Linked DNA regions of Schizosaccharomyces pombe. The gene in region 2 interacts genetically with the main gene of each other region. Each region holds a gene or a part of one and is shown on either strand. Other genes may lie near its edges.

Region 1 (5,164 bases), 780 kb from region 2:
ATTGCAGATTATATGACTTTCGAGGGAGGATACAAAGCCTTCAATAGAATGGGAATAGAATATAACACTTCTCCATTTGCGAAAATGTCTTTTGAGACCACTTGTCACTTTTTGACTGAGGCCGCCCTCCGTGGTGATGTTGATGACTTATCCAATCCTTCATCTCGGTTAGTCGTTGGTCGAGTCGGTAACTTTGGCACCGGTTCTTTTGACATATTCACCCCTGTAGTCGATTCTCCTGCAAACTAAAAAAGGTATATTTATTGCGGTTGGGGAATAATTTTAGAAAAATGTGTGTTTTGACAAAATAAAAGATTTTGGAAATTAAACCTTTATTGGCTACTTGTTACAAAAATATATAAAATAAATAAATTGGGTTTTGGAACTAATACTTGTCATATAAGTTTTAGATAGGTTACCACAAATAAAATTACGTTTAATCTACAACTCTTACATAACACAAGAGATAAACTTCTAAACGCTATAAGCGTATACTATGTTTACGAAATATTCATAAAGCTTTATATTGCTAATGTGACTATTAGATATGCAACTGGGAGAACAATTCGCCGGATATAAATTAAAAGCTTTCGTAAATTTAAAAAAATTGCGCACGCAAATGAACAAGTAACATCGGGGGTTTGAAAGTTTATTAAGCAACCAAGGTAAAAGATATGTGTAAAATTAGGAATTCCCATAGCAGTCTTTAACTAGAACGAAGAAATATCACATTAAATAAAGCATGGATAAAAAGTAGATAAGTGCTAAAACAAATTTAGAATAGTGTTGAAGTTTGACGAAGAAGTGGCATTTTCCTCTTGGTAGGAGAAGGCAAGTAAGTATCATCTTGCGCGGCTGAAGAATGAATAGTAGTTGCTGAAGAAATATATTTTCTACGCACCTCACGTTTAACAGGAGACACTTTTCGATTGCTATTAAAGTCGGAAAAGTGATTTTCAAAACTCAACATATCCATGGGATCCAAAAAATCATCTTCAAAGGTATCAAACGACTTGCTCATGGGTAGCTTGCTTGGTGTTTCTAAGCCGGCAACGGAACTAATGTTATTGGTAAAATAAGATAATGATCCTCCATCAAGTAAGCTATCACCTTTAGGACTTTCAGATAGCGTTACTTGTTTAGATGCATCTCCATTACGTAGAATTGAAGACTTCAAAGGCGTGACTGACCAAAACTCTGCATCAGATGATGTTAAAGATGATAATTGCTTTGCATCAGGTGTAGCCAGCATTTGCAAGATACGAGTTCGATGCTCCTTCAAATTTGTATTCGGACTTGCTGAGATACCACTCATATCAGAACGGATGGGTGAAAGTAAAGAAAACTTAGTGTAGTCATCAGCCACGATGTCATCACGAAAGCAAAACAATTTAGGACACAAGGCCTTCGGGGGGGTTGGAAAATCAATAGAATTTGATCGCTTTAGCAAAAGTCCACTGGGATTTTTTATGGTAGGCGAGCTAGGTAAAGAAGGTAAACGGACTGCAGGGATCTGTAGGGTATTAGTTGTACCATCTTTTAAACCTTTCTTGCCGAGATTCGTTACAGTGTCATTAAAACCCAACACGGAATCATGAACTGAAGGGGTTTCAACATCCTTCTCCAAATGTGATACAGGTGGACCTTCTACTGGTGCATCATCTTTATTCAAACCCAATGATTTAGCTGACTTTATTCCCAAAGATTCATTCCTAAGTGATTCAGATGGAGAAGCACTGGATGCTGGTGATGACAAAGGAGGAGATGGAGAATTTGTACATGATTGTAAAGGAGAAGTTACAGATACGACAGAGGAAACACCCAAATCGGAAAACTTAGCTTCCAAATCAGAAGGTGCATCGATACCAGGGGTATCTACATAGGGTTGTTGACTATGAAGAGGATGAAAATTTGTGGCATTAACATTAGAGATCGTCGGAATGTTCGTTAAGGATGCAGTATAATAATTCTGAAGATATTGATGTCGCTGATTAAATATATGGGGAGAAGTATTAAACGTGTTAAATCCAGAGGAACCGGTAGAAGATCCATATTTTGTAGAGGAGGTAACGTCTTGAACAGGAGGCGCTGGTCTTGAATTTACTCCTGGTTTACGCAGCTTTAGTTTTAGAAATTGTTCTTCATGACCAGGACGAATGCTCCAAAAATGACCCTTCCCCGGTAAATTTCTAGGACGTTCAATTTTCATGAATGCCTTATTTAGACTTAAATTATGGCGGATGGAATTTTGCCAACCGTTATTGGACTTATTATAGAAAGAAAAAGTATTGCTGATCCAATCATATATAGCACTTAAAGTGAGACGACGATCGGGAGAACGGATTATTGACATTCCAATTAACATAGCATAGGAATAAGGAGGTTTCTTTCCATCATCTAGGGGTAAGAAAAACTCCTCCGGTTCTTGAGACTGAGAAGAAGATACAGAAGGGTTTCGATATATAATAGTATCCAAAGATTGCTCCGAAGGAGGAGGTATGGGAAGAGGAGGAACAGAATAAGTCAATCTAGTATAAGAAGGTATATATGGTCGAGTGGCTTTTGAAGAAGGTTTTTGAAAAGATGCAATGTTATTTTCTTTTCCGCCTGCAACTACGCCCTTCAACTTTGAAGCAACCTTGGGATAAGGTGGTAAAGATTGCAAAGGAATTTCCTGATAAGCAATTGGGAGTTCAGAGTACTTAGAAGCATTGTTAAGGTTTTTTTCATGAGTAAAATAATAAGGGTTAGTAGAATTAAAATTCATGAGGAAGATGTTCAGACAAATTGAATAATAAAACAAAAATTAAAGCACCGTTAGATAATGGCAATGCCAATAATAATAATGATTAAAAGAGAAAACCAATTAAGGGAAAATAATAGTAATAGTGAATACTACTATACTCCGGACTTACACAAACATAGATTGTCAGTATGCGGACCAAAAAGAATGAAGTATTTTGCAAAATTCAAAGATTTGAAAAGAATTAATAATAATAGTACTCAAAGGACAAAAAAAAAATTGTCCGACCTTGGATTCTCGCACTAGTGTTACGACAAGGCACGATTCCGAAGCACAAAAAAAAGAAAGAAAGAAAGTGTGGTGCTCTAAATTCACAATCCTTTACAACCAAAAATAAAGTCTTAAGTCTAAGACAGAAATAATTATAGAAATAGGTATTACAGTATAGGAAGCAAAAGATACAAACTCAATACTGGATGCTGTCAGAAACGAGAGAAATGCACAACGAGATACTAATATTGCATAAAAATATTAAGATTTGTAATAGTGATACACAATCGTGTCAAATATCCTTTCGTATCAAATGCTCCGAATTGCTCCAATTTTGGACGTTTGCCAAAATATGAGTGTACGAGATGAGATAGAAATCTCCACCTCGTGAAAGCGGATCCTCTATTTTAGTGACAATATGTCATAGAGCCGAAAAATCGATTACGATGTTGGGTTGTGAGTATTTTACTAACAGTAATAAGGGTATACGTTATGATACGTTAAGCTGCCAATTATCCTCCTTCATTAAGTATGCCCTTAATTTGACACATTTCTGGTTCCATAGTATTAACCATACAGTAAAACGTTGTTTTATTTTTTGAGGTCCTATAATTAGAAATTTAAATGAAATGAGGCACTAGTTTCAGTTATGAAATATTTTTTTAGTGAATAGCTATAATATTATCTTCATACTAAAATATTTAATAACGTCGGATGTTCATGCAACTTAAATATTGCTATAAAGAGAGTATAAGTTGAAGTTGAGCTTAGTCTAATCATATCAGTTAGTGGTTGACAAATTTTAGGTGATTAATACATTTGGTTAAGAATCAATAGCATGCGTTATATTTTTTGTATTATTTCAACAATAACAATAACGATGATTGATAAATTGACTTGGCTTAGAAACTCATTTAGTTAATAAAATAATAATATTTCAATATTTGGAAGCTAATAATATTCTTTGTCACATAACTGAATCGAGAAGTTCACGGAGCTAATCAAGAATACTTCTTTTTATTAAGGATTTAGACAAAGTAATCATAGTAGCAATAATTCGAGCAAAAATAGCGTAGTTCTATAGATTTCAATTAAAATATTAGACAATTGAAGGGATGGCACACGATTCCTACACATTTACATTGAAAATTGCAAGTGCCAAGCTAATTTCCCAATTTTGCAGTCTGCACACATTCAAAGTTTGATTACAATATTTCTTTCAATGCCGTACTTCTAAAATTTTAGTTACTAGAAGAAAGTTCAAAAACCACTGTGTACAAAGTTTTAGTATGTGTCAAGGTTGCAACACGGAAAGCAAATTGAGTAGAAAGAAAAAGGTTCTGTATTTAACATAGAAGGATAGAAGAATTATGTGTCCGAATTTCTAAATTTGAAAATAACTACTATATGAACCAATGCATCAGGCGAACTGATATGTCTCGTTTAACATTAAGAGAAAGACAATATTCAAGAACACATTAGACGAGCAAATAAAAATTTTTTGCGTTTTCTTTTATAATAACTTACTAATTATGTGGTGAAGTTTAAATATAGTGAAAACCAGGCCATGTTAATTTATGAAACCAAATAGCATGTCAAAAAAAAAGAAGTTTTCAGCGTCTAATTATTGATTTGCTTCTATCGTCAAAATGCAAAACATTGTTTTCCATATCTTCATTGCACTAGACACGTCAGTACCTATTTTGGAAATGAATGCTACATGTATTGAATTAAATTTGAAGAACTTGTAATTAGCATTTAAACTTTTAAAAGTTTTCTCTTGTATTTTTATTTTTTTAATAGGTTATATCCACAAAAAACGCTGATTGGCGCTTACTACTAACTAACTACCACCATATTGTTTTCCTAAATTATGTCGAATTTGCGAATTGTTTGTCAACATTGCCCTTCAGTCGTATTTAATAACAAACGTCCAGATGTTGTTAAGAGGCCAACAATGTCAGCTATGCTGCATTCTGAAACACAAGAAGATCTAGAAACTGACGATTTTTTTCTTCTAAAAGATCCGTTTGCTTTCGACAACGTTAGCGTATCAAAACCCTTAGCAAATAATTATAAATTACTTGCTTGTGCTGATTGTGAAAAAGGTCCGTTGGGCTACTATGATTCTAAGAACAATGAATATTTATT
Region 2 (11,437 bases):
GATTTCCAAGCTGGATTTAATGGGATACCAACTTCAGCTCCAAGGTTGGTTGGTATCGTCCAAGTTCGAAGTAAAGAAATTCACCAACCTTTGGCTTTGGTTCAAATAACGTTAGAATTATGGAAAATTGAATCAGTGGTAATACCATCCTTGGGTATAAGTAATCACTTATCAGATAATAAGTGTCTGGCAAGGCAGGTTTTGTTTCCACTTCATTCCGAGCATCCTGAAAATAACATACCTCCTAATGATAATAATTATTCTATCAGCGATTTGTCTATCAAATCACCTCCACCCTCCCTTACTAGCGATTGGATAGTAGATTCTTATGCGTCTGATCAGGATAATCCTTCTGTTCATACTCATAACCGTACTACTCCACCTATCCCTCCACCTCATCTTCCTAATGCCTCTGGATCTTCGGTATATCAACCTCCTTACACTCCGTTTAGATCAGTATCCACCACATCTTCCTCTAATGACACATCTATCACTCCTTTTGGTGACCAAACTCCTATACTCTCTTCTTCTTCAGATCCTTACGCTACTCATAGGGTATGGTCAATGGACCTTCCCTTTGAAATCCCGTTTCCCGAAAATTCAGAAATTCCATCGACTTTTGAATTGAATCGGTCTGGTACAATATGCTCCACGAAATATGAACTACGTGCTCACATGAGTTTACTAGGGGTACCGGATATTACTACCACTGTACCAGTGTCACTCAGCAGGTATGATAATCTATCTTCTTGGGGGATGTATAATTCCCCTACTAATATTCGGCAAGTGAGTAGCGATGGTCGTGTTGTAGTAGAGGTATCAATACCCAAACTGTGTATTGGACCTTCGGATCTCGTCTCCGTCTTCGTTTCCATCATGCCTAATAATGGTTCTAAAATACGAGTACAGCAACTTTCTCTTTCCTTGGTTGAATACATCACGTTCATACATCCCTCTTCTTCAAGCCCAATAGTTCGTAAAAAGAAAGTATTACGTTACGAAGAAGATTTGGATGATATGAAACTTACATCGGAAGGTTTATCGAAAAGCCTTTCTAAACCTTTCCCCGACATTGATTTTGAAGATGCAAATATCACTGGATTCACGACCACCTCTGATCTTTACTCTGTACAATACATGCTAGTCATCAAAGTACAATTATATCGTGCTAGAAACATTGAAATAACAAACCCAATTATTGTTTCCCCAGTGGAACGATCACGAAGTCAAGCCTTACTTAATGAAATTCAAACCCGAGTCCTTGACGTTCGCCAAAGCCACGGAGGCGTTGTCCTCGAAGAAAACGTTAGGATTGTGCGAGCTTCAGATTTTTCCAAAAATAATATGTTTGCTTATTTGAATGATGACATTGTCCTGTTATCTTAGGAAGTTACATTTTTCAAGCTCAATCTGTGCTTTACTACAAATGTAAATCCCGATATTGTTGATCATAAGCCTTACCTCTGTATTTCCCTGTGTTTTTCGATATTTGCAAGCCTTTGGTTTGCAATTAAATACCCACTTTGTTTATTTATTTGTCCCTCGTTTTTTTGTTTGGTTTCAAAAGCTATGAGTAAAAATAATGGTCTTCTTGTTTTTGTTTTGTTTTAAAAAGTATTCCTGTTCTTCGACATCAAATCAATTTCTATTGAATATGTCTTCATTGTTTTATTTATTCACTAGATTTAGCAAGTGGGACTTTTGGTCACTATTTGGTTGCTTTTTTGTACAACTGACTATTTATTTTAAATTGTGTCAACAGTTTAAATCTCACTTTATTCAGAGTAGGTTTTAGTTTAATAAAAACAGCTTTAAACCTGCTTATATAATGTACTACTTTCCTTTTTTATGTGGTTTGAATATCACATCGGCTGCACTTATGTCGGCGTTTCCACTTTCATGTATGTGGCTTTGAAAGTAAAGATGTAGTAAGCATTTAAATCTGAGTAAGGCTTAATATATATAACGATTGCATTTTGTTATCTAATAGCCCAGTATACGGTTACACTCTTAAATCAGTTACAATTTTATTAGATATTAAGCTCATTGTGAGTAAAATTTTTCCACACCTCTTCCTTAAGTTTGTATAATCCATTCTTATAGTAGTATAACCAGAAGTAAAAGTTTAAAATATTAGCAATTAAATTTCTTTTGAGGAATGAAAATACGAGATCATTATCAAAGCGTTTAATACCCACTTAACTTTCCATCCACAAAATATACGTTTCAATCCAGGTATTAATATCTATATATTATTGACTACTTTATCAGGAAAAAAGATCAAACATCTTTAATTTTTGAGATTTCAGAAGCTACTGTACCTTATGCTAAACAAATGTTCTGGCTCTTTAACACTTTTAGCTGTTAGAAGATTTTGTGGTCCTTGCCGACGTTTACATTATCATAAAGATAACCCTAATAACATTAATATTGCTAAAAATCTCCTGAACAATAATATACAAGCTAGATGCTCAACAAATGAGGCATCTTGGAAGTTGGCACAGAAAGAATTAGATCTGAAAATACGTGAATACGAACAAAAGTTAAAGGATGTTAAGCTAAATGACATAAACAAAAAGGTAAAATATTTATTAAATAAAGGGTTTGAGTACAAAATAACACTGCTAAAAGATACTGTCTTGTTTACTAACGTTAGCATAGTCTCCCCTTAACATTCCTGATGAAGTTTGGACTAAATTTATATCAGAAGTTAACTCTTATGATAAGGAAAAAGAAAATCATTTATCTACAGGTAACCACGAATTGAGGAGAACAACTCCATTGAAAATTGGACCACTTCTACTTACGAGAATCGGGCTATTGAAATCTAAGAACACAGCCAGCAATAATTATTCAGTCGATCATATTGTTTCAAATCTAGCTAATGACAATACGTTGTTAAATCGTCAGGTTTCTACCGAAGAATGGAACAGTCATCTTCGCCATCTCTTAAACATTCCTAAATGCTTTTTAGGGGTTGATATTGTAGAAATAGTCAACTTTTTTAACTATCTTCCTCAAACTGTTATTTCAAAAAGTTCCCTAGAAATTTGGAAAGCTGTTGAAGAAAGTGGTATGAAAGTTATGCCTGATTTGCTTGTCTTGCTTATGGAATCCACCAACGCATCTGGCGATTTCCGTAAGACTGTCCAATTGTATCATTTGTATCAAAAATCAAATGCTCCTCCGAATGGTTTGGTGTATCAATCATATGCTATTGCACTTTCTTCCCTTGGTAAACACAAGGATTTAGTTGCACTCTATTCAGAACAAAAATCAGTCTCAATCACCCCATCAAAGGATTTCTTAAATGCCTGTATCAAGGCATTTTCTCGAACCAAAGAATTTACAAAGGCGTGGGAAGTTTTCAATTTTATGAAATTTACAGCAACTAGCATCTCTCCGTCGGCTGAAACATACGGTCTTATGATTCAAATATGTTCTTCTCAGTATAATCCAGAAAAGGCACTTGACTTATACAATGAGATGAAATTAAGACCAATTGATCCATTAACCCCTACAACGTTCGTTATTAATAATTTAATTCATGCTTTAGCTACCGATGTTCGTTTTCAAACAGTCGCTTTTTCATTGCTTCAGGATCTTTCGCATTATGGTTTACGTCCAAATCATTCTACACTTTATGAGTTAATACGTTTAATTGCTTATAGTGGTAAACTTGACTATATGAAAGACATCTTGGATAATTTCTGGGTGAGGCAAAAATTACTGCCCTCGATACTCAAAGTTGAACAAATTTTTCATTTCATTTTTCGGGCTTTAATTTCAGCTGAAGTTCAAACTTCTTCTGTAACCCCTGATTACACTCACTTTAAAGAGGAGGTCAGGAAAATTATAGATAGTTCCAAAGAGCCACTTATACCTTTCCTTAAAAGATCAACTTTAACTGAGAATGACTTGTTCCTCAATGCTATTTATACTTTTGAATACGCGAAAAGGAAATTTCCTGAAGCTCTGAACTCTCGCTTAGTAACTGATTTTTTAAACATTTTTCTTGAGCGTGGAAGCGTGCAATTATTCAAGGAAATTTATCAATTAGAATTTCGAGAAATGTCGACAATGGAAGGTTCCTCAATGAAAGTTGCTAAGATTACATTGACTTATATATATGCTATAAAGTTAGCATTATTGTTTAACGATTTTGAATTTGGGTATGCTGCTTGGCAAGAATATTGGCATTGTAAAATACACAAATTGCTACCAAAAGAGGACGCATCATACGAACAAAAGGTTGTTTTACTTACTCTTTCTTTACTTTCAAAAAATAAGCACACATCTTTGGCTCGAAGTCTTCTCTTATCGCACCTTGATAAAGGCTGGACATGGAATAAGCATTCATTGGGTTTTATGAGAAAAATGTGTTCTGTTATGAACGATCAAGCCACTGTTTACTTGATTGATTCTATTACTAACGAAATTGGAATAAATCAAAGATTTACTCGAAAATAAAACATTATTCATAAATTTAATATTAATACTCATTTCAGTATCAACGGTAAAAAAAAATGTTATTATTATTATTTACAAAGATTGAAGAAATCTAAGGACATATTAAGGGGCATTTCGTTCAATATTTAAAGACGGATATAAATTATGATCAACCATGTTATTTCGATATACCGAATTTGTGGGGACGCCGTCTTTCAGTTGATCAGCAGGAATAGTGGATGAGGGTATTGATGACCTCTCATAATCTAAATCTAAATCAATTTGCGTTGTACCAATTAAAGCATCCCAAGTTGCATCAACTGGATTGTCGGTAAAAGAGTCTTGATTAACCATATTCGATTCGCGAAGAATTTGGTTAGGAGATGCTGTAAATGAGCGACTTAGTATGTTCAACTCATGAGTATCAATAAATCCGTTGGGCAATTCATCAAATTTTGGATGTTCATATACCATAGAAGTAGGATTATCGTGAGAATATAATTCTCCACGGTTTTCTTGACCCAAATTATCGGGAAGAAAAGGAGGCGTAATTTGATTTATAGCAGAGTCCAAAGGTGTTATAGGTGTTGAGCTGGGATCCAAATAACCAGAAGAAGGACTTTGAATAAAATCAGTTAGCCCGTCAATAGAAGCATGAGAAGTATGCAGCCTGGATATTCGCGGTTTTCCATTACGACGATTTTTAAAAGATTGGCTGCGACGAACAGAGCTACGATCAGCTCGGGAAGATGATTGTCCATATGCTTGACGCTTAGGAGTAAGGAAAGGGATAAAATTATCGGTTTGCGGAACATCATTATGTTGAAAAGACAGTGTAGGATTCAACGATTCAGGAGGAACAGAAAAAGACGATGAAGAAGACGGTTCTAAAGGTGAGTCAGAGTAATCTCCAGAAACTGGAGAGACAAAAGAATGTTTGACTGTTGGAGAAAGAGGAAGGTCATTATAAACCGACGCATGGTCCGGTATGGTAATCGACTCTATTTTCTTGTTCTCGCTTGCAGTAGTTGGAGTAGTATGGTACGTGGTAGAGGATTTGATCGTGAAAGATTGAAAGTCATTTTCACTGTCGGTAGCAGAAGAGCAATTATTAGAAGGTTGAGCACTGTATGTGGTAACAGAAGCAATCCGCTTATCTTTAGGTCTCCAATTATGAAGGGATTCATCAGATGGTATATTAGGATTTATGTTTCTCTTTCTCCCCAAGGGATTATGTTAGTAAACAGAATACAGGACAAGCATAATGATTGCTGATAAGTGACTTACCAGAGGGTCAACCGTGACAAAGTCCTTGTTCAGGAATTTTTGCAGCAAGGCATCTCTTTGCTCTTCCGGTTCCTCAGAAGAATACTAAAGAGGTGTATGTTAATATTAAAAACTTGTAAAAACATTGCCACGTTTTCTGGTTGTTGACCTTCATCACCTTCCCTATAATGTATTCACTTTACATTGAAAGGATATGACAGAAAAGGATCAGAAAAACGGGAAATATGAAACATACAACGTGACAAGCATTTTTAGAATCAAAAATCATGACCACCACTTTAGCATCACACAAAACGGAGAGTTCATGTGCTTTTTTTATCAAGCCAAGTCGTCGACGATTAAAAGTAAGAGCCTTATTTTTTGCATCGGAAATACGCTGTATCTAAATGGTACGTTAGCGAGGAGAAAAGGGGTGTATGAATGGAACCAAACCACTATGTAGCACATACAGAACGGCGAGGAGATGAAGGAGCAGTACTAGGAGGAGGATTAATATCCATAGTTAGAGTCCAAATATTTAGGTAATAATATAAATAAGAAGTAGAAAAAGAGCGACAATTAAGAACCAAAATAGTAAAAAAACAACAAAAAAAGGATTAAAAATTAAACCAATTGACTAAATCAACCGAGGAAATTCAGTGAAGTCTAGAAATAAAAATTAGGAGAAAAGGGAGAAGGAAAAAAGGGCGCAAAGAAAGTGAGAGTTTCGACTATTCTTATATTCTTGTTTCGTGATTATTGACAGTGTAATAAAAATCAAAATTAAGGGAAGGCAAAGACGCATGCAAGGAAGTGCAAAACTTAAAGGTTGAAATACAAAATATGATTATCCGCTAGATTCACTTGAATGTATCAGCTTGACTTGAAATGCAGCAAAACAGTAATGGGTACCAAAATGGGATATAATCTAAAGGGATAAGAATACAAGGAAAATGTCGTTAACGTTTTGGGTAGACGAATGAAAAAACCTTTTAATGTAGAAAAAAGAGATAACTTTGGAAGAATTTTAAAAAAGCAGGCAAATATTAGGATATCATTCAATCGGCTCCTATGACTTGAAGTCTAACCCAATACTAAATGTGCAAAAAAAAATAAGGAAGCCGATCACCAAAATAAATGGAAACCAAATAAAAAAAAGCCAAGGATGAAATTCAAAATATTCAATTTGAGACTTTCAAAATGTAAACAAAGCGACAATAACGGCAATGTAAAGTTTGCGGAGACAAAAAATTTCACCTTTGAATATAAATAGAAACACTGAATAGGCAGTACGGAAAAAAATTTTTCTTAAATCAACCCCAGACTTGAACCAAAATATAAAAAATGTGAAATTTGGATGAAAAAGAAGCGTATACAGCGTATCAGGAACGTATAGTTTGTAGGAAAAAACGCTGGATTTATCCTTTTCAAAATCTCGTGGTAAATGTACTGAGCCTTTCTATAAAGCCCACCCAAGCCCTGTAAGGTACCGGACGAAAAAAGTCTCGCTACAGGGGGTTAAGATGATAAGAAAGGCTAGGGTGCTAGATTATTTATCTAATAAGGTAGTGTAAAGAAGTAAAACAAACTAGAGAAGTAGAAAATATAGGAATTAATGAAATGGAGAAAATGAAAAGAGCAGAAGGTGCGACAATAGAAATAGTTGTAGTCAAATGATTGTAAGAAGTTGTTTAAGTGTGACAACTAAATAGTCATCAAAGATTTAAAAGAATATCGCTGTAATAGTCGATTGATAGATAAAAATATTTACAGGATGTGTTTGTTTTTGGGGTATTCGTAAGGGAAATTGCCCAATCCAAGTCTTAACCAGAATATGGAATGGAAACCTTTTCCAATGCCGGCACATTGTTTCTTCCTTTGGATTAACCAATTGCTTTTAAATTCGTACTCGGTTGTCTTTTCATCTTCTTTAGATCCTAACCAGATTTGTTAGCATTCAAATCCGTACTTTTCCCACGCATTCAATACCCAGACATTGTGCGTCTATGATTTTCCCAATTTTCGGGATTTGCGAAAAAAGCCCAATGCCTAGTTCTCTTCATAAGCTCTATACTGTAATAATCATACCTTTGCTAATTGGGATTCGGTACCTTCTAGCTTTGTATTATTTTTACTATTGTTTACCACCCATGTAGACAATCACATATTAGAAATTAGTTTAACAATTCCAAAAAAAAAGAACACTCGTCGCTTATGTTCACTGTAACTGAATTATGGTTTCAGCTACACTTTCTTGACTTTTTGTAGTTTGTTTACTTCTTTTCCAATTCAAATATAGCGTCCTTAGTTTGGTTAAAAGTATCCATCTAAAACGGTAGCTGGGTATAACGATTGATAAGATGCTACACAGTAGCTGCTTATAAATTCTTTCTTTGTTTGACCGGCTATGGCTTTGCTTTGTATGGGGATGGTTTTTTAAGCCTCCTTGTGCCTCGTTGGTGAGTAACCTGAGCCTCCTACCACGCCAGCCTCTAAATTGCTTACACTAAAATAGGCCTCAATAATGTGCACTACCCTTCCCCATTTCGCTGTTAGTTTTGAAAGAACCGGAATGAGTACAACTTGCAGACAACAAACTAGGAACTGGTGGGTTTTGGCTATTTTCACCGTTCTCTTAGTGGAATTACTCTAAAATTTTTGAAAATATATTGATTAATTAGAGTAAATTATCCTTTTTAACGTCAAATTTTTGATTCTGTTGCACGGAATTAATTTTTTCTTCCTTCTTATATATCTATCATTGGTTCCTTCTTTTCTTTTTCCTCTCTTTTTTCCTATTAGCCTCCATACAAAAAGGTTGACTCCATCTTAACATTTGCCAAGTTTTCTTGTGTGATATTATCTTTACGTTAGTTGCTCCATCACTGCTAAGTTTTCGGTGTGTGCAAGATCACCTTTTGTCGTAGCATTGTGTTTGTGTGGACGTTTGGCGTTTGTCCCGGGTTCCTCTTACCCTTTCGCTTCTCTTTTCCTTCCATTTTCCCATCTCCATTTACTTTTTTTTCGCTTTGAGAGATTGTAAATAAGCTTCTGCATACGACAATTTAATTGTTCAATCTAAAGTTTATGTGGAAAGCGATTTTATATTTTCTCCTTTTCTTTTAAAAAAACGTCCTTCCTTGAATCGCTTTTTTAAAAATTTGGTCAGTTTCCTAGGTGTGCATTTGTAAGTACTTCTTTTGGTGCTTGCTGTTTTATGGTATTATTATTGTTGTTTTTATAATTATTTCTTCTTTTTTTTCGCCTCTTTTTTTATAATTTGCATACTGTATTTTTAGGTTCCGTTCATTCCCTTTTGAACCTCCGATATCTTAACTACTCTTTCACTTCGTGATCCCACCCTTTTTCCTACTTTTAGAGCTTTTTCCGCCGTCTTCTCTCATCCGGCATACATATATCACCCTTTTTTCTTCTTTTTAGGATTTGAAAAAGTCTTTTACTTTTTTCATTTCAATCAGCACAAATTTTTTTCTCTTCTACTCTTTTGCCCCCATTTTCCAAGGCTTAACTTCTTTCTTTTTAATCTTTTTTTCAAGGTCTCTTAAATTTATTTCTTTCTTTTGAACATCGTTCCTCATTTGCTAGCATTCTTTCTCACAAATTCCAACTTTTCTTTCTTTCAATTCTTCTTAATTTAAGCATTAAAATTTGTCCTCTCTCCTTCTTTTGAGTCTATTTATTCATCATGGATCAGTATTGGCGTGAACAAGAGGGTCGTGGACTCTTTGAAGATGATGCCAATAGTTATGTCTCTGACGATGATACTATGAGCTCTCTGACCCGTATGATTTACGATAAAAACTCTTCTCGTGATGCATTACATTCTGATTATGATAGCTCTTCATTTAATGTCGATTCCAGTTCAGTTGCTTATCCGGCTTGGAATCAAGCTGGTGAAGAGGCTCCTGTTACTATGGAAGGTGTTCAAGAGATCTTGTTGGACCTTACAAATAAACTTGGTTTTCAAAAAGATAACATGCGTAACATTTTTGATTATGTTATGGTTCTTTTAGATTCTCGGGCATCTCGTATGTCTCCTTCCTCGGCACTGCTTACTATCCATGCCGATGTCATTGGTGGTGAACATGCAAATTTTTCAAAGTGGTACTTTGCTTCTCATTTTAATGACGGTCATGCCATTGGATTTCACGATATGTCTTCCCCAATTGTCGAAACAATGACTTTGAAAGAAGCTGAACAGGCATGGAGAGATCAAATGGCAGCATTTTCACCCCATCGCATGATGGTGCAGGTGTGCCTTTATTTTCTTTGCTGGGGTGAAGCTAACAATGTTCGTTTTGTTCCCGAGTGTCTTTGTTTTATATTTGAATGTGCTTATGATTATTATATCTCTTCGGAAGCTAAAGATGTCGATGCTGCTTTGCCCAAGGAATTTTATTTAGACTCGGTTATCACCCCTATTTATCGATTTATTCATGCACAGCTGTTTGAAATTTTGGACGGCAAATACGTCAGACGAGAAAGAGATCATTCTCAAATCATTGGCTATGATGATATTAATCAATTGTTTTGGTCCTACAAGGGCCTTCAGGAAATCATGTGTGCTGATAAAACTCCGTTGTTAGATTTACCACCGTTTATGCGATATCGACATCTTTCCGATGTTGAATGGAAATCATGTTTTTATAAGTCCTATTACGAGTATCGTTCTTGGTTCCATAACGTTACCAATTTCTCACGTATTTGGGTAATGCATATATCTGCTTACTGGTATTATTCGGCTTATAATTCCCCAAATTTGTACACCAAAAATTATCACATCCGCTTGAATAATAAACCTCCTGCTTCTTGTCGTTGGACAGCTTGTGGTTTAGCTGGTGCTATAGCTTCTTTTATCACCTTGGCAGCTGTGGTTTTCGAATATATACATGTTCCTCGTCGTTATCATTCTGCCAGAAGGTTGTGGCCGAGTATGCTGTTATTGATAAGTACGCTACTTCTAAACATCGCACCTGTTGTTTTCATATTTGCTTCGTCTACGAAAGAGCAGCATTATGCTTCTCGATTGGTTGTAGGAATTGTGCATTTCTTTTTCTCGTTGGTCTGTGTAGTTTACTATTCGATTACGCCGTTACGAAATTTGGTTGGTTTCACCACAAAAAGGTCTGGAAAAAACCTTGCTAACAGATTTTTCACCGCCAATTTCACTCCGACCTCAAAAACAGGTGCTTTCGTTTCTTGGTGTCTTTGGATTACAGTTTTGGTGGCCAAATTCTTGGAATCTTATTTCTTTTTAACTTTGAATTTGGCAGATTCTATCAGATTTTTGGGTGCTATGCGACCTTATGACTGCCGTGATTACATTTTAGGAGCTGGACTATGCAAGGCTCAGCCTAAAATTCTCTTGAGTTTACTGTATTTAACTGATCTTTCTCTGTTTTTCCTTGATACTTATCTATGGTACATTCTTATCAGCACTATCTATTCTTTGGCTTATGCTTTTTGCCTGGGTATCAGTGTGTGGACTCCTTGGAGAGAATTGTTTTACCGCGTTCCCAGAAGAATATATACAAAACTGTTGTATACCGATGACATGGAGATTGTCTTCAAGCCAAAAGTACTTATTTCTCAAGTTTGGAATGCCATTATTATCTCGATGTACAGGGAGCATTTGATTTCCCGTACCCAAATTCAGGAGTTGTTGTACCATCAAGTACCTTCTGAAAAGGCAGGCTATCAT
Region 3 (11,628 bases), on a different chromosome or scaffold from region 2:
GTATCTTGCAGTGCATCCCAGCGTGAATCATAAGTACCCTCGTTATATCCATAAGAGAATGCGTTTGAAAGCATCAAAATAACAGAAGGAATTCCATGTTTGATACGCATATCAAGCCAGACACTTAATTCTTCTTTCAACTTAGCAGGAGAGAGGCCCTGAGTCCGAATACCACGAGAATTACAGGCATTGAAAAGCTCGGGAATTGAAAGTGAGTTGATTCCTTCAATGTAAATAGCACGATCGTCACGACGAATTTGACGCATTCGATGACGGATATTATAACGCAATAGAGGATCAGTTCCGAATGCATTTAGATTCATGTAGCGACACATAGCTACTAATTGTGCACGCGACAAGTTATCAAGAGTTATGTCATCCTTAAAGTATTTGCAAACCTCAATTAATTCTTCTCTAGATGGGGATTGACCACTAGTACGCACCTTTTGAAAAAAATCTCTGAACTCTTTAGATTCACGAGTCTCGTTGGAGAAAGTAAATTTTCCCGATTTTAAGGTGCTTCGTAGCATGTTGGATACTTCATTTCTAGTCTTTCGAAGTTGTGCTTTCTTAGCCTCCTTATCCTTTGCATCTTCAAATGTACTAGGAAGCAAATTGGGAAACAGCTTGACTGCAATGGGCAACAATAATTCGGCAAACGGCACAACAACAAACACTGAGAATGGAACAAGTCTTCCAATATCCTTTAAAGTTCTGGTAAGTTGACGACTTTCACGACGAGTAAGTTCGTAACCGACAGCCATCTTATAAACCAGTTTTGAAGAAATCTTAATCTCGACACCAAGAAGTTTAGTACCATCCCAGAAATGTAATACACCGCCTTTAACCCTTTGCCATATTGACGGTTTTTTAACCACAGTAGTTGGCTTAGTCTCTTCCGCAGCAACCTGTTTCGGGGCTTCCTTAACTTTAGAAGGAGTAGGAGTTTCTGTAGAGTAAAGTCTTGAAGAGCCGATATTATAGAATACTATATCTGATGGACTATATTTATTAAATTTGACAGGAGAGAGTCTTTTATCAATCAAAAAATTTCCTCGCAGACCTGAATAGCTTCTAATAGGTTGGTTCCTGATTGTAATTCCCGTCGCCGGAGCGCCTAACCTCCATTGAAAGCCTACAAAACGTTAGTACAAATTGAAGAGCAATTTGAAAAAGCATTAATATCCTTACCAGTCTGATGTGGGGTTTTAAACAAACGATTCCGAAGCATACTGGGGAATTGGATATGCGTTCTTGGATACTTCATCAATTTGACTCGGCTTGTTTATGAAATAGTAAAGAGATTTAACGCATGCTACGCAAAGCTTCATATTCGTTAAACTAATTAGTGTATTGTCCGTTAGGTAATTTCCTCAATCGCTATTAACATAGCATAGCGTAGGTAGAGAAAGCATTTTATTTACTAATTATGTATTGCTGGAATTAGTTTATAAGTACTTTAAAAGCAAACAGTTCTTTTATCGCATCAGCCTATTTATTATAAAAATGTTCCTGCTATTTGGATTCAACGTGACAGTTGCTAGTAAAAACCAGTACTATTGCTCTTTTGATATACTTAGTGAAGTATAAATTAATGCCTTGTAAACAATAAATAATGCTACTATTAATTAATTTAATTTGGTGTTACAAAGTCTGTGATTCTTAATATGCAGCAGATTGAACTCAACTGTACACATTTTACTGACATAATTAGCAAAACATGTATCTAATCTGTGAAAAGGATTTCAGTTACAGCGAGAGAATAAAAATCAATTAACATAGCTGTGACTAGTCTAACATTTTGGATAACACTTGGAACATTGAGATTTGTGAATCCTTTTGATTAGATAAATAAGTGTCGCCTTAAGACAGAATTTGCAGCGATCAATTTAAAAGCAAAAAATAAAAAATTTTGAAAAGGGATTAAGCTGATATTTGCAGCTATAATTTAAGTTTATAACTTATTCGTCAAGAGCTCCTGCGTTTAAAAGATGTATCTGAGGGAAAGAAATAATAAAAAAAGAATTAGTAAAACATTAACATAAAACTGAATTGAATGGATGAATAGTACAAAAATGAGGATGTGAAATATGGAAAAATAGACAGCATAGTAACTTAACGCCCAAGTATAGATTAACGGTATTATTAACTCACTTCCATTTTCGACGCCCACGATTCCAACGTCTCGCGAATATACTTTAAGCGAGATCTCAAGTCTTCTGAAAATGCGGATGCTTCTTGCAAAGGCAATTCCACTCTCTCTCGCTCTTTATCTAATACAATGATCTTCCGTGCGGTAGAGGAAATAACAACTTTTCGATGATCCAGGAAATTGAACTGAAAAATTCCGTTACTTAATCTAAACATTATAGCTTGACGCGTACGAAGATAATGCTGCATGAAAAGCATGGTATTGGAAGTTGAGTTTTTGGGTTTTTCAAAACTCTCATCCTGCACAGCCTTCGAAAGATTTTGTCCCATATAGCTTTTAAAGTGCTTTAAAAGCTGAAGTTTACTTCTTATAGATTCAGGAACTTTGGAAGCAGGATAAATATATGGCTTAATTTCTGTATCTTTAGGATGTAAAGCATACTCGACAACCTCCTCATCAGCTGAAAAAAGCAAGGATGTATCATCATTAAAGTGTACGCCAACCGATTCATCGGATAGCTGGTATCCTAAACCATATTTGTTGGAATAATCAACCCACTTTGTAATAAAAAGAACGGGCTCAGAGTCAGCATCCTCTGAAGTTAAAGCGTGTGTATGTGCTTCCAATGCCATCCCGATTTTAAGAGCTGTCTTCTTTACGCTGATCCAAATGTCTGATTTCATATTTCCAACCTTAGAAAGTCTTGAAACTGTATTTGCAGATAAAGACCGAATTAATTGAATAGGTTCAACTTGTTCAGTGACAGCGCTCTTAGTTGGAACAAATGATTGTGATTCTTCTCTCAAAACTTTAACTCTTGAGCCTAAACTTCCATCAGTGGATTTACGAGCTGCATGGAGGGCTGTAGAGAGCTTTGATGGTACAGGTTTGGTTTCCGGTCCTATTTTCATAACAGGGTTGACACGGTCCCTTGGACTTAAAACACTTGGTAATATTCGATCATTATCAACTTCATCTGTTCGAAGTGCATAAGGTTTATTCTTTTCTACACCTGCTGAATTTCCAAAGCCTACTCCGGAAGCAGAGGCAACGAAGTCCAGGTTTCTCTGAAAGCTTGATTTTGATTGGGAAGAAGGCCATATAGGCATTGAATGTAAAATTTCATCTGGAAGTGTAGAAGCCATATAGCCAGTGTGAAAGAATTCATGGTCAACAATATCGTCAATACTGGGACGAATGCTTGGATCATGTGTCAGAAGAGAAGAAATTAAATCTTTTGCTTCTGCAGATATGTCGACATTTGAAGGAAAACTATATGAGTTGGCTTTTATCTTCCTATAAATTGTCTTTACCTCTTTATCCTGGAAGGGTGGCTTTCCAATCAAGAGGGCATACATGACTACTCCAGCACTCCAAAGATCAACTTCAAATGAATGTCCTTCTTTTGAATTGAACAAAATTTCAGGTGCGATGTAGTTCGGTGTACCACAGATAGTCATTTTACGTTCTTCGTCATCCATTAAAAGCGCGGCAAGCCCAAAATCACCAATTTTTACATTGTTACTCTCATCAAGCATAATATTTCCAAGCTTTAAATCTCTATGAATGACTCTCTTTTTATGCATATATTTCAAAGCTCCCAAAATTTGCATCATTAAATACCGAACCTCTGGCTCAGTTAATTGTTTTCGCTTACGTAAAAGTTCCATTAAAGATTTATGTTCACAAAGCTCCAAAATTAAGTAAATATTCGTCGAATCTTCAAAACAATCTATAAATCCTACGATGTTTGGATGACTCATGGATTGGTGCACCTTTATTTCTCCAAAGAGCTTCAGCTTTGTTTTATCATTTTGTAGTGACCTTTTAGCAATAACTTTAGCAGCGTAAATATTTCCATAATTATCTTTGACTCGAAAACATCTCGCAAAGCCGCCTTCACCAATGCAATCGTAGCGAGTGTAGAATATATTTTTTTTATTATTATGAAGATTAGTTGGCGGAGTAAAGCAAAGACGAGAGGCTTTGGACTTCTTCTTCGGGGTTATAGCAGTTTTGGGCTCTTTAATTGCAACACTCGCCATTTGGTATTTGTTTCTAACAAAACGCAGGTGGTAACTTTTGAGGGTAAACAAAGTGGTTGCTACGACAACCGCTTGTTTGTAAATAAAAATCTGTGCATTGTAATATTTTATGTAGTAATTACAGAAGTACGGCTTTAGAAAATTTAATACAAAGCTTATGTGCAAAAATTTCAGTAAATTCGTACTATACATAAATCCTTGAAATTATAAAATACCTAGAAAGATAAGTTATGTTAACAAAGTAATATAAAACTATTAAAGTCAAATTGTATTTAAGTAAATATGATCAATAGGTAGGTCGACTGCATTAAAATCATTATGGGATAAATAGTGCATTAATGTCAGCATCAAAATTCACCTCTGCCGTGTTGTCAGAAGTTCCCCTAACCGATTTTAATAACGATTCCCATCGATTTCTCCAACGCTGTTTTCTTTTATTCTGGCAATCAAGGAAGTCGGTATCTCTAAGGCGCAGGTAAGATGCATCTATGTAAGAATCTTCTGTGCGTGGTAAGTAGAGCAATTTAAACGAGTCTAAACATAATTTTGCTTGCAATCCGGAAACCAATTCTGCAGATCTTAATAACTTTGTTTGAAGGCGTGAAACCAATTGCTCAACTGTTCTTTCTTTCTCTATATTTCTGCAAAGAAAGGGACAACGATAATTTTTATAAGATATTTCTTCAGTAAGTTTTTGTATACGATAATTTTGAACATATTTTTTCCAAACTCGTCTCTGTGTATCCAAACTTTGATCCACAATAAGATTCGCTCGCTTCATTATTTTGATTCCAAATGATTTAAATTTGTTTATCCAACAAAATCGAAACAAAATTTCATCAGGATTCAAAAGCTTTTCAATTTCCAAGCGATAAAGAAAGTCATCATAATTCTTCTTAGGCGAAGCAGAACTATTTTGTTCGACTAAACTAGTAACGAATTTGTATTTTCCATCGGAAACGATGTGGTGGACTTGTTTAGCAGCAGACCAAACGAGTTTATCAATAGTATATATTTTATAGGCTTTATTGCCATAATAAAACCGCAGATAGTCCTCGAAGGCACTTTGATCAACTATCCCATATATTAATCGAAGAATCATCACATAAGTATTTTCGTAATGAGTTTTTTCATCAGGGACATCTGAAAGATCATTCCACCTATCGCGCCAAATCTTTTGTTTTTGAGATACTGGGTTTGGTATTATACGCTGTTGGATAATGGACACTTGATCCTCCAAACGCTGAAGCTCATAAAGCCTTTCGTATAATAAGTTAAAAAGTCTAAAAAATACGTACATAGAAGAATATCCAAACTGTTCTTTATCGACGTCGTCATGCATTTCATTCTCCGTATCACCAGCATGATCTTGATGTTCCAAAAGACTATCTGGATGACTTGGATATTTGAGACTGGCTTTAATGGCTGCAGCAGGTTGTGAAAGCTGTTTCTTAGAAACCGGCGTTACGTTTCCAGATTCATCACTTAAAGAGTTTTGAGAGTTAGATTGTGATTTGTTACCGGATTCTTCTTTTTTGCGAGCAGCTGCAGCTGAACGACTTTCGCGTTGACCATTGATTTTAGGTTGTTTTACAAATTCCGTCAACTGGGTTATAGAATTAGATCTTTTCCGACGTACAGGCTTGTTACCAACTATATTCGGGGCATTCACATCGTAATCAGGACCACGAAAAACTTGATCCAGGAATATCGAAAATTTATCCTTTTCAAGACCAAAATGTAAAGGCAATATATTCTTGAAAAAATGCTCAACTTTCTTTAAACCAGAGGGAGAGTTACATACAATGTATGTGCATACCATATAACAAGTATCAAAAAGTACTATTTCGTTGTCATATACAAAAGAAAATTCGAAAGCTGATCTACTTCGCAAAGGAAAATGGAGCTTCGCTTGCGATCGTAGAATGTCGGCTTCTGCTAAGAGAAACTTTGAAGATACATTCTTCTTATCTCTTGCCTTAAAATAAACGCATTGTGAATCTAAGCTCTTATCGTAATTTTTAAACTCAATACTTCGCCATCCAGGTTGAAGACTTCTTTTAACAGACTTCCACTCTTCGTTTTTTTCTTCTAATCTGCTGATTACCAATGGTAATGTGAGGCAAGGCATTCTTTCCAAGGCCTTAAACATTTCCTCTGCATGCTCACTGGTATAAACAAGCTTAATAGTTTTCTTGTATATACTTTTTGATGGTAAACCTAGCCCTTCCTCGAGAGTATATGTTTCTCTTTCCTCTTCCGGCAATTCATTTATACGGTTCTGAATTTTTTTAAGAGACTTGATTGTCCAGGAAGTAGCTTCAATATGCCGATCAAATTCATAACGTTCCTCTTCCAACTTTGTCATTGCCTCTTCATAAGGCGTTTTCCTCTGAACAATGAAACCGCTTTCTTCAGATGCCCAAGTTGGATGACTGACCCAGTCATCATTAAGTATACCCCATGCAAAATCATCTCTACCGCTGCAAGAAATATTGCGTTCTTCGACAGGAAGCAATCGGTAACTCGGGCCACATTCCGGGAAGTCTGAGCAAGCGGAATTGTATACAGATAAAAACTCTTCCGGACTCAAACTAGTAAGGCTTAAAAAGCTTCTCCAAAGTCCCGAATTCGATTTAAGAAACCCAAACCCACGACTCACCAGAATATTTCTATCAATTATCCCTTGAACGTACAAATTCAGGAGTTTTAAAAATTCGTGGTAAGTTTCTACATCGGTAAGTACATTTTTCACATTTTTGAAAAAGTCACTGCTCTCATTTGATAAATGTGAAAATGGTGAGAGGTTGTCCGGCCTTGATTGACTAAGCAAATCAGAAATATTACTCAACGTAAATTGGGAACTCTGAATTCCTCTTAATGGAAACGATCCTAGAGGAGGTTTACTCCCAAAAAAGATGGAGCTTGGTAAAAAGTTGTGAAACTCGTGGGCTAAAGATGGATGCTCCGCTAGCAAAGACGTTACAATAGTCTGAAGCTCAGAAAGCGAACACTCAGAGTTTTTAAACTTACGAAGACTATCCTGTAATTTAAAGAACTGTTCGGGATTGCTCAATAATGCTCGTCGAACTCGTGAAACAAATCCTATAGCTCTATGATAGGTACAAGGTAAGTCGTTGTAAGTAGCTACATAAGTAGACGGTGTAGAAACTGGACCAGATGGGGTGGTAAATTGCAATGTGAAGTTGGCACCGCTATTCGATAAAAGGTATTTATAAGACGAGGGCAAAAAGATGTTCAAATATTCTAAAAGATCTGGGTAATCTCTTAAGATTACAGATATTCTTTCAATAAACCCGGGAAAATCGACACTAATGTTCATGTTAATAAGTGAATAGTAATAAAAAAAGAGCTATCTCAAAGCAACTCAGTAAATAAGCCATATATACATTTCATTGTGTAAAGCCTTCACAACATCCATGAAAGCGCTATAAACATAAGGACGATGACACAGTCTTTGACCCAACTTTTGAACGAATGCCTTTATATCAAGCTCGGGGAGTGCGGTACCATTAGGGGAAAAATCATGGACTAATTGATTCTGCATCTCGGCCACTAACGTTGAGTTGTCTAACAACATTGGTTAAAATGAGTTATGTATTAAATTGATACGTACCATTTTTTAATATCGCTAGTGTTTGTTCCATGTATTTTGATCTTTAACCATCAAATGACTAGGAATACGATCTCGTTTATTTTGGAGGTGATGATTTGGGAAACGGCAAATGCAACTAAGCGCACAAACTCGTCAACGCATTACATGAACTGACGCTGATAGCCAAAGTTCAAATGATTTATCAAGACATGAACACAAATACCACATTGGATGGTGTTTTACACTTACAACGAATACTTTAGAAAAAATACTAACGAGAAGAATCAAACCCAATATAATTGTTAAAAAATATTCCTTTTAAATAATTAAACACTACATCTAAACATTATTTTCTAAGAATAATAGAGATTTAATAAAACCGAAACTATGCATCGTCTTCATCAAGAATAAGAAATCGAAAACTATCTACTTTCAAAGTTAAGTTGTCGACTACTTTACTTAAGTGCATTCGCAAAACAAACAACCAAGATGGTGAAATAAAGTTTTTAAATACGAACAGGAATGGCAGAAGAAATTACGCTTTAAAAATGAAACAAAGTAAACATTCAATATAAAATTTTACCTCAAGAATAAATCAAAAGATGTGACACAATAGATTAACCACGTTAAATTTATAATGTTCGCAAACTAAGACGAGGAACCTTGGTCACATAAAAGCGGATGATTGGCGAATTCTGGTTGAATGGTAACATCATATATACCAAAAGATTGAAGGACATTACGGATATCCGTAGTAAGCTTTGTATAAGACTCTCCCTTATCATCAGGAAGTGTAACGCAGACATGAACAGTGGCAATTAATTTAACGTCCGAAAGCTGCCAGATGTGGAGTTCATGAACAGATTCCACGCCGTCTAGATGATTAATTAGGTTGGAAACATCATCCAGTTTGATGCTTTGAGGAGCAACTTGTAATAAGATGAGAGCAGCGGATTTACAGAGAGGAATTGCGCTAAAAAGAATAATGAAAGTAAGAAGGATACTAATGCATGGGTCAAAGAGGAAACGCCAAGAATAGTCAGTATACTTGATGAATAAAGCAGCACTAATAACACCAATATTACCGAGAGCATCACCCAAGACATGAAGAAAGACACCATGCATATTCAAATTTCGTTTCTTCGTTTGTTTTGGTGCATCTTGTTCAATACTGCCATGGTTGTTGACTGGCTTTGAAGTACCAGCACCATTATGATTACCAGTGTAACTCAATAAAGGAGAAGATTCGGTAGCAGAGTCTGCGACTTGAGTGTGTGTATGGCTGACTTCTTGTTGACTGGTATTACAACGATGAACGATAGTCGAAGGTAAAACGGATTCAATATCATCTTCTTCAGGAAAATCGTAATTTTGAGCGGTATGGGTGTGAGGATGATCATGACCATGGTCATGAAATAAAAAGATACCAACGAAATTGCTTAGCAGACCTAAAGAACCAACAAAGAACATAAGGGTGGGATTGCTGACAGAAGGAGGCTCAATGAAGCGCTCTATGGCTTCCATAAAAATGAACATGCAAAGGGCAATGAGAAATACACCGTTCGACAAAGCACCTAAAATCTCTGCACGTTGCCAGCCATATGTGTATTTTGGTTCGTGAGATGTTGAATGTGCTAGACGAGTAGCCCAGAGAGCGACCAGTAAACTGACAATGTCATTTAACATATGAAATGAATCAGCAATTAGGGCAAGTGAATCGATCGCATAACCAGTAATAATTTCGATGAAGAAAAAAGTAACATCAATACCTAATAAAAGGATAATCCGAGTTTGTCTTGCGAGGTCGAACATAGTTTGAAAACGAAAAGTCACCAATTTCAAAAAAATGGTAAGGGTTGAATTTCACAGGGAGAAAAAGGAATAAGGTAAATTTAGAATGAAAGGTGGCTTTTTAAAAATGAATTTAAATAAAAGAGGCGCAAACTTGCTATATTTAACAAAAAAAAAAGCCAAAATAAGACGAAGATGCGAGAGGGTTTAAGAAAATCTAAAGAATCAAATATCTGTAATTTTGCTTTCCTTGTTTTTACAGAATAAATTAATTAAACCAATAAACCTTCAAAAAACTGCCAAAACTGCCGTTTTTGATAGTAAATTAAAAAGGAGGCTTTTGAGAAGTAAGCGGTGAAGAAAAAATAAAATCACACGTTGACTACTATTAGTCTGCTTTAACAAAGTTTTGTAAGTGACTGGCCACTAATCGCGTTTACCACAAAAGGAACTAACAAAGACTACCTTTTGAAATTTTCTTTCAATTCGGTGTTAAGAATAAACGCACAAATTAGTCAAAATAGTTAGAAGATCAAATTTTGCGATCGAAAATATTTATCTGATAATAATTGATATCGTAAAAGTGACTATTATTATTCGTAATCAGATACAACGAATTACAGAGTATCGCAGTAATAAACGAGTTAATTATAAGCAATATGCACACATATTTGGATCGTCCTTTCTATGATTTTTTGGGTAATGAGTGAGCGACAAGATCGTACTTGGTAATTTGATTGATATTTCGTCGAATAGGTTCTACCGCTTTACCAAAAGTAATTAGTTAATAAAGCTAATACTTGGTATCAATTTTTGGGTAAACTTCTATAGGTAAAAAAAAAATGATTTACGTTGATTAAATGTGCCACGTTCCACTTTTAAAAGCCGAAAACGTTTGAAATTGCATATTTATATTATTTTTAATAGCTCAATATTCCATTCATACGCTTGCTTTATGCAACGCCAATCATTGTTTATTGAAAGATACCATCATTTCTTGTAGCTCACAGAAACTTGGCCGAACGGCTGTTTAGAAGTAAATAAATAAGGAATTGAAAATGATCCTAGATGTTTCAACTATTTTTAGCTATTACTGGGTTTGCTTAATAATTTGATTAAACGCCATAAAATATATTAAAAAGGTCTTTCTATTTGTTGTTTATAGCAGTGGTTTGTTCTCAAAACTTACAATGTTTTATGATCTTCGTTCATAAACGAGCATTCTCTCTCCCCAGATTTCGCTAGTAATAAGCTAAATATATCAAGTAATTTTAATATTATGAGTGAATGCATACAAAAAAGAAATGCTTCGAAAATAAAACTCTTTCTAAAAGGAAAATCTAGTGATGTTGAAGAGCTTTTCATAATTATACTGTCAACATAGCAGCATTGTTAATGTTTTGAATGAAAGCCTGATGTCAGAGGGTTTTCTTTTAAAAAAATTTTTATATATATATATATATATATACATGATTATTAATAAAACAAAAAGAATAAGAACATTCTCAATCATCCTGTTCATTATATTTCCTTCTTTTCATTCTCAAATGACAAATAAATAGTTCATTTATCAATAACTCATGGTCTCCACCATATCTAAAAATCACCAGTTAGTGTAAGATTGAAGTAAGCATGTGTCTCGATATTTACTACGTATGCTGCGTTATCTACTTTTTGGCTGGTTACAAGTGATTAGATATTTACAAATTCGCTGCACTATCTACTTGTACAATCCCCCTTGTACCGTTTTTTAGGTAATGCGTCTAATCCTTCCCAGAACTACGAGGCTTCGGATGAGACACCTATGTGATGACTGACTGCATCGGTTCTTCAAACGGCACTGAATAATCCAAAACCTTTCTTGTTACGAGTACATTTGAGTAATGTACCGCAGTTAATTGCCCAGGCAAAAATTGAGCTATATTAATTTTGCTATAATTATACAAAAAGTAAACAGTAAAATTGAAACCTAAAGCATTATATACATATAATAAATCTTATCAGACATGCTAGCTGATATACCT

What was found.
Region 1: of mbx1 (region 2) and sep1, changing one enhances a phenotype caused by changing the other (phenotypic enhancement), as found in Schizosaccharomyces pombe (2 studies listed by BioGRID, with this or other methods).
Region 3: of mbx1 (region 2) and plo1, a mutation in one rescues a mutant of the other (synthetic rescue), as found in Schizosaccharomyces pombe (one study listed by BioGRID).

The regions. Positions count from the first base shown.
Region 1 is NC_003423.3:3,132,720-3,137,883, forward strand, and holds sep1 (DNA-binding forkhead transcription factor Sep1), read right to left. Parts: upstream 3,386-5,164; 5' UTR 2,768-3,385; coding exon 776-2,767; 3' UTR 501-775; downstream 1-500. Other genes in the region: DNA-directed RNA polymerase I complex large subunit Nuc1, read left to right, coding at 1-249; dss4 (guanyl-nucleotide exchange factor), read left to right, coding at 4,887-5,164. UniProt on the Schizosaccharomyces pombe protein: Required for promoter sequence element PCB-driven, M-phase-specific transcription. Acts as a transcriptional activator with a role in the regulation of mitosis. Regulates septation and the periodic transcription of cdc15.
Region 2 is NC_003423.3:2,354,228-2,365,664, reverse strand, and holds mbx1 (DNA-binding transcription factor, MADS-box Mbx1), read right to left. Parts: upstream 7,167-11,437; 5' UTR 6,237-7,166; coding exon 6,186-6,236; exon of another isoform or gene 6,119-6,185; coding exon 5,972-6,118; exon of another isoform or gene 5,821-5,971; coding exon 5,737-5,820; exon of another isoform or gene 5,665-5,736; coding exon 4,573-5,664; 3' UTR 4,509-4,572; downstream 1-4,508. Other genes in the region: arrestin-related substrate adaptor for RhoGEF, Art1, read left to right, coding at 1-1,386; PPR repeat-containing protein Ppr3, read left to right, coding at 2,325-2,579, 2,662-4,470; primary septum and spore wall linear 1,3-beta-glucan synthase catalytic subunit Bgs1, read left to right, coding at 9,422-11,437.
Region 3 is NC_003424.3:2,156,809-2,168,436, reverse strand, and holds plo1 (Polo kinase Plo1), read right to left. Parts: upstream 4,207-11,628; 5' UTR 4,198-4,206; coding exon 2,146-4,197; 3' UTR 1,672-2,145; downstream 1-1,671. Other genes in the region: putative potassium ion transporter Mdm28, read right to left, coding at 1-1,135, 1,192-1,231; Clr6 histone deacetylase complex subunit Pst2, read right to left, coding at 4,514-7,529, 7,608-7,788, 7,835-7,865; ER zinc importer, CDF family, Zhf1, read right to left, coding at 8,462-9,625.